2 linked regions of the Caenorhabditis elegans genome follow. The protein of the gene in region 2 interacts with the protein of the main gene of each other region in a biochemical or structural test. Each region holds a gene or a part of one and is shown on either strand. Other genes may lie near its edges. The genes, in order: nap-1 and his-7.

What was found.
Region 1: the proteins of his-7 (region 2) and nap-1 are reported together in a solved structure, tested with the Caenorhabditis elegans proteins (one study listed by BioGRID).

Annotation. Positions count from the first base shown.
Region 1 is NC_003282.8:8,377,032-8,381,233, reverse strand, and holds nap-1 (Nucleosome assembly protein 1-like 1), read left to right. Parts: upstream 1-1,914; 5' UTR 1,915-1,922; coding exon 1,923-2,048; intron 2,049-2,093; coding exon 2,094-2,261; intron 2,262-2,292; exon of another isoform or gene 2,293-2,414; intron 2,415-2,446; coding exon 2,447-2,614; intron 2,615-2,660; coding exon 2,661-3,149; 3' UTR 3,150-3,529; downstream 3,530-4,202. Other genes in the region: praf-3 (PRA1 family protein), read right to left, coding at 254-351, 751-960, 1,146-1,244; D2096.7 (ELYS domain-containing protein), read left to right, coding at 3,604-3,786, 3,833-3,923.
Region 2 is NC_003283.11:8,531,269-8,534,413, reverse strand, and holds his-7 (Histone H2A), read right to left. Parts: upstream 1,036-3,145; coding exon 652-1,035; downstream 1-651. Other genes in the region: his-8 (Histone H2B 2), read left to right, coding at 1,328-1,699; otpl-5 (Otopetrin-2), read right to left, coding at 1,949-2,154, 2,204-2,310, 2,410-3,113. UniProt on the Caenorhabditis elegans protein: Core component of nucleosome. Nucleosomes wrap and compact DNA into chromatin, limiting DNA accessibility to the cellular machineries which require DNA as a template.

The sequences.
Region 1 (4,202 bases), on a different chromosome or scaffold from region 2:
ATATGTGATTCTAGATTTTCAAGTCAATTTTGAAAATTTTAGCGATTTTCCGGCTTTCAAGGAGTTCAAAAATAAATATATCTTTGTTTTAATTTCAGCAAAATTAAAAAAAAAACACATTAAGAATTTTATTTTTTACAGTTATATTTGATTATTAAGTCCATTTATAACTGCGACAAATTTACATTAAATAAGAATATTGTCCACTTATGAAAACAGTTTTACAACATTAGTAATTTTTTATAAAACTTACGCAAAGGCAACCACAAGAACGGATTGGAAGACAGAAATGAAGAAATAGGCAACGAGAATTATTCCTCCAAGAGTGACCAATGGATGATCCGTGCGCATCTTAAAACTTGATTTTTTTTTGGTAATTCTTGGTTTCAGTAATTGTTTTTGGACCAATTTTATGTGCCATCATGTTTTAATCTATATTTTTCAATTATTTTTTTAGCTTTAACTTGCAAAAAAACGATTATCACAACAATAATTTTCATCAACGAAGTGCACAAACTGTTACGTGAAACATATGTTAACTTATCCTATTCAGGTAAACGGTAAAAACGAGCTCTTTTTATTTTTTACGGTGGACATGGCTTAATTTTATGCTGCTGCGTTTTGCATCTGAAACTTGAACTTAAACTAATTTTGAATTCCAAATTCCAATAAAACTTTGTACCTATCAATTCCGTCAACAATTCGAATTTCTTATCAATATAAAAACATCACATTCCCGTCAATCATTACCTTTTTGATATTTGCATCAGCCGAGACAGCAAAGATTAGAGTTGCAATTACGGCGACAACGGCGATAAGACCGACGAAAATGTCCTGGCTACTGATGAACGTGTGCAGAAGGAATAAAGTGATGATTGTAACAAAGTAGTTGGTTTGAAAGTACAGAAGATTCGAGATTATTCGATTGTTCCATTTCTTGAAGTCGTTAAATGGTGGACGCTGAAAATCAATCAATTGGATTTTTATCTTTTGAATATTGAAATAAAAAACTCGATTATTTTTAAATTAAACTCTAAGTAAAAATTTTAAACGACCACTTTAGTCAAACTTCAACATATGTAAATATATTTTCTACAAAAGTTGGCCCTTCTTTAAAAATATATGTAATAACAATTCAAGCCTACCTCGTATCGATCGGTTTCCAGCAGAAACTCGTGAAAATTTCTGAACGGTGGCACTTCCACGCCATTCATAATTTGCATATTTTCTGAGGACGTCGTCATTTTTCCCTGAAAATAACAATGAATTTGAAAACTCGCTAAGATTTTCGGAAGTTGAAAATATTTAAAGTAAAGTGAGAAGTTTTGTGCTGAACGGGGGAACATCTGGCGTCGAATGCTATGTGTAATATTCTAATAGCTTAAGGAACTTCGAGAGAATCGAGAAAACGAGAAATATGATTCCAAGATGTGGGTTATTTGAAGAGCTATCAAATTTTAGAATTTGAAACGCAAAAAACTGTTTATTTAAAAAAAAAAGTGCCTACAATTAGTTTCAAATGCAATCAAATTTCAGGAGAATTTACTATCATAACAAATCCATACTTTTATAAATAAAAATCAATACAATTATTATATGTAAATCACCAAAACAAACCAGAAAACAAACGACAATATGAAAACATTGATAAAAAATAATATAGGCATGAAAGACCATCTCGTAAATAATAAGCTTGTGTGCGCCTTTAACCGCGGGTCTCACCGCGAAGAGACATTTTATGGAGGAGGAGCGAAGTGGTTGTTTGGAAAATATATTTTCAACTCTCGTCCTATGATTTTAGACAGCACTGCTTCGTTTCACAATAATTTTACAGATTTTTTCTCGAATTTTCGAAAATCATCGTATTTTTTTGCTTGAAAGAGTATGCCAAAATCATCTATTTATGCTTTGTAGGTAATAAAATGGCTGATCAAGAGCATATTGACGCTGGACTTCTCAGCACCAACTTCGACATGATTCAGGCTTTGCCTCTCAATGTCAAGCAACGCGTCTGCGCTCTCAAAAACCTTCAAATGAAGACAATTCAGGTTAGTTTTCTTTGTTTATGTTCTTAAGTATATAATTTATTTCAGATTGAATCTGACTTCTACAAACGTGTTCACGAGCTCGAGATCGAGTTTGAAGGAAAGTTCAAATCCACTTTCGATCAAAGAAAGGCTATTGTCGCGGGAGAGGTCGAGCCAACTAAAGAACAAATCGACACTCCAATCCTCGAAGGACTCGAGGGAGATCAACTCGCTGTAAGTTCCTAATCAAGATTCCCTATATAGCCTGCAACTATTCAAGAGATTTGCCTCCCGTGGGGCACGCCTTTTTTCGTTGCGAAATAAAACATGTCCTTTATTCCCGCTCCTGGATTGTGTTTCTTGCGCGATGATATGGCTATGACAATTCCAGCTTATTAGTTGACATTTCTTTGTTTCAGGAATTGTACAAAGCTGCGGAGGCTGACCCATCAGCAAAGGGGATCAAGGATTTCTGGCTCACCGCTCTCAGAACCCATGATCTTGTTGCTGAAGCCATCGAGGAGCATGACGTACCAATCCTCTCATATCTCACTGATGTGACGACCGCCGCTAGCAAGGATCCAGCCGTAAGCGCATTTCATTGTTTTCGAAAGTTAATGTTTTGAACTTCAGGGTTTCAAAATCGAGTTCCACTTTGCCACCAACCCATACTTCAAAAACCAAGTTCTTACCAAGACCTACTTGCTCGGTTTCGACCCAGATGCGGAGGCACCACTCCAATTCGATGGACCACATGTCATCCGCGCTGTCGGAGATACTATTGAGTGGGAAGACGGCAAGAACGTCACCAAGAAGGCTGTCAAGAAGAAGCAAAAGAAGGGAGCTAATGCTGGAAAGTTCCTCACCAAAACTGTGAAAGCAGATAGTTTCTTCAACTTCTTCGAGCCACCAAAGAGCAAGGACGAGAGAAATGAAGATGAGGACGATGAACAGGCAGAGGAGTTCCTTGAGCTCGACTACGAGATGGGACAAGCTATCCGTGATACCATCATTCCACGTGCTGTTCTTTTCTACACTGGAGAACTTCAATCAGACGATATGTTCGATTTCCCAGGAGAGGACGGTGATGATGTGTCAGACTTCAGTGACGATGAGGCTTAAGCAGTATCGATGGACCACTTATTAATTTGCCAATTTTTGAAATTATTAATTTTCCATTTTCTTTTTTAAAATTTTTTTGATTATTCCCAACCCCTTCACATAATAGGCGGAAAACCGATTGTTGCTGTTACTTGTTGTTGTCGTTTATTCCCTGACCTATCCATATTCCGCTTCTCCCAATCTCTAAAGATATACCTGAAAACGAGTTGTCGTCGAAATACTTGATACATGTTGTCTTCATCCTGGTGTATGTTGTTTCGCAAATTCTTCATACTAGTTATGATAGGATTTGAATGAGCTGGCACGAGTCGACTTTGAACTCGAATTTCAATATTTTCGTGATCCTGCATTAAGTGATGAATAAAATCCCTTGTTGCGAATTTCAGTCCTTCTGAGGTCTTGCCATCTGGAACATCTTTCAGGAGAGATCGTCTATTTCAAAACCCTCTGCATTATGTTGGACGGCTACCAACTCCTCTTAAAAGCACAGTGCTCGGAATCGCTAGACTTGCTAGGACTGTCACAAGCAGAGATATTGATTATCATCGAAAACGAAAGACGATATGATGTGAAAACTCGTCTCTGCGAGAGGATTGCTTTTTTAATTTACCAAGACTCGAACTTTGGACGTTTACCGGTATCACCCAACACATTCCTTTCAGATGTATTTAATTGTTCTTCAGCACAACTCTTCGGAAGTTTTCGCGTCCATCAACAGATTATGTAAATCAATGCCAACTGGTTTTTCATTTGAAGGTAGATATTCAAATTATGGTAATCTTCTTATTATTATCTCAATTATACAGTTTGGTGTTACCTAAAAGTTCTAGTCTCAATAGACAAATACTTGTTACTTTCCCAAAATATTTGAAGAACAGAAAAAGTATTTGCACACATTTTCGAGTTAAATGTCGTCGGTTTTTTTCTCTTCAAATTTCGAAATGTTGCGAAAAAAGAGAACATATGTCTGCGTCTACTTCTCTCGAGTTCTCTAGCATGTACTTTATCGAAGAGACCCGAAAAAAGTTTCGAATGTTTCTGTGCTGCAAAGTG
Region 2 (3,145 bases):
TCGATCTGCCTGTCAAAAACATCTCAAATAAATGTCAAAGATCCATTAACTTGAATATTATCTAGACCTGTCTTCATTCTTCATTTTGAATACAAATTAAATTGTAAAAACTTCTTTTAACTTCTGTAAAGTTAACACCTGCAAAGCATAATATTCTCTCGAACTACGAAATCAATTCTGTATGTTATCTCCTTTTCCATTGAAAACGCAGCAAGTGGCATTAGAAACGTCACCAATTTCTCATTCTGAATACAGGTCAAGTAAACAATTGTCTGCGTTGTGACGTCACAATATCTTTGTTTCAATGAGAAAGTGCATCTATGTGTATTTGAATCAACAGGAAGGATTATTTCAATCAGATTATTCAGCGAGGTCATTTCCAAGGACATTATTATGAAGACAAAAAATTTTGACGCCAATTTGTTTGAATTTTAAACAAAATTCACTATTACAAAAATGTCATACACATTTGAACGTAGACTAGAGCAATGTACCAAAATTTCTCACTTCATTTGCTTAAAATCATTTCAATATATACAACAACTAATAAACATTATTAAAATACAATTTTATTTACATTTAACTCAGGATTAAGATATTTGTGGCCCTAAAGAGGGCCGTTGGGTTCGGTAAGTTGTTTTAAGAAGGCATCTATTCCTTGTCTCCTCCAGTCTTCTTTGGAAGAAGAACAGCTTGGATATTTGGAAGAACTCCTCCTTGTGCGATGGTCACTCCAGCCAACAGTTTGTTCAACTCCTCGTCGTTACGGACGGCAAGTTGGAGATGTCTTGGGGCAATTCTGGTCTTCTTGTTGTCACGGGCAGCGTTTCCAGCCAACTCGAGAACCTCAGCAGCGAGGTACTCAAGAACAGCAGCCAGGTAAACTGGGGCTCCGGCTCCAACACGTTGAGCGTAGTTTCCTTTACGGAGAATACGGTGAAGACGACCAACTGGGAATTGGAGTCCGGCTCTTGATGAGCGGGACTTGGCCTTTCCTCCGGTCTTGGCTTTGCCTCCCTTTCCGCGTCCAGACATGGTGGTGATAGGTTGGTAGATGTAGAAACAATCTGAAGAAGACCATTAGACAGCACCCTTTTAAACACAGCTGCGGTGACTAGGCGGGCACATAGAGATAAGACAGATGGGGGAGGTGGCAGAGTGACCAAGAAAAACTGTGCACTTTGTACATTCGGCATGAGAGACAGCATAGAAAGATGTCCCCACAGAATGTCAATAGGCTCCTCCTTTCCACCGAAAAATTGTTATAAAAGAAATTACCATCAACCCATTCCTTACACTTGCCCAACGACCAGTCCAATCAATCGAAATGGCCCCACCAAAGCCGTCTGCTAAAGGAGCAAAGAAAGCCGCCAAGACCGTCACCAAGCCAAAGGACGGAAAGAAGAGACGTCATGCCCGTAAAGAATCCTACTCCGTGTACATCTACCGTGTGCTCAAGCAGGTTCATCCAGACACTGGAGTCTCTTCCAAGGCTATGTCCATCATGAACTCTTTCGTCAACGACGTCTTCGAGCGTATCGCTGCTGAAGCATCTCGTCTTGCTCACTACAACAAGAGATCCACCATCTCTTCTCGCGAAATTCAAACTGCCGTCCGTTTGATTCTTCCAGGAGAGCTTGCCAAGCACGCCGTCTCCGAGGGAACCAAGGCTGTCACCAAGTACACCTCTAGCAAGTAAGCATTCAATTGCTGAAAGCAAATCACCGAACCCAACGGCCCTCTTTAGGGCCACATTTGTGAAAATCCTTTATCAATGCAAATATTCGTATAATTTCGATTATATTCATCAAACTGGTATTCAGTTTTGTATTGTGGCGATTCATCAAACACACATTCAGAAAATAAACATTTTTATGTACTTGTTCTATCAAACTGGGATTCTAATTTTTATTGTTGTAGAATGTTTTCAGAGGCAATTCATTATCGATCACATTTTCTTTACTACCACGAGAGGATCAACTGTATTATCTGTTACAACATTATGGTTCTTTCTTGAATACGTATGTTTCCAAATCTCCGCCAAACATGCTGAACTGTGAAACCGATAGAAAACTACAATTGGCGAAGCTATATTAAGCATAGCGGAGTAGCTATCAGGCAGTTTGATGGGAAATCCAAAGTTCAATTCAGTAGCTGGAAAAAAATTAGTATTAGTTAGATTACAACTCGTTACTGAACTTACTTTCGAATGTGTGATAGATAAATAGATTGATATTACATACGAGAAGAAATGTTATCACTTGTTTTCCTGGCTCAGTGTAACAATTGGTCTGGGTGTAGCATCTCATTCTGAAATATTTTCATGCAAAGCAAAATAAGATATTTTCTCGTAGTCGTTACAACCGTAGCCCCGAATATTAAAAGTGAGACGTTTTAGCCGAAACATACCTAGTAGCAATAAGGATAAAAATTGTTTGAACCAAGACTTCGGTGATTCTCAATGTGAATGATACAATTGTAATGTATGAAGCAGGTTCTTTAATCATCTTGTCATTGATATATAAATCCATTCCAGCACATGAGTACACACATTCTCCAGCTAATCCCACAATTAACAGAATCTCATCAATGACTTCTCCGTGAGCATGAAGCCTATATTGTAGTTTTCGCATTTGAAAGAATGCTAGAATACAAGCAAGAAGTGCAACAACGAACAGAAATACATCAGTGTATCCAACAAGTAGATTTGCAGCAGAATCTCGATTACTTTTTGAAAGAATTCCATGCATTCCAACTGCAACTGCTGAGATAATATGAACAGCAACTGCCAGAAATATTCCAACTGTGGTGCCACTGCAGTCAAATCGGAAATGTCGTTTTTTCTTTTTCTTCAGAGCTTCTCCTGAATTCGAGTCATCATTCTTCCAAATTATGAAACAAATTACAGCAGCAATTAGAGAAAACTCTACTAGGCATGTGAGCAAGATGCTTGAGCTACTGCCAAGTTTAATAATGGCTCTCAATTGTTTATCGTGAGGTCCAAAAGAGTCAGTTGTAAAATCATATGACATTTCCGTCAAGATCTCGGTTTTAGTTTCGTTGTCGGATCCTTCATAGGTGTATTTGATTTCTTTTTTGGCGTGTTTTATGCTCTGCAATTAAATTTCATTTTTTACTTACAAAG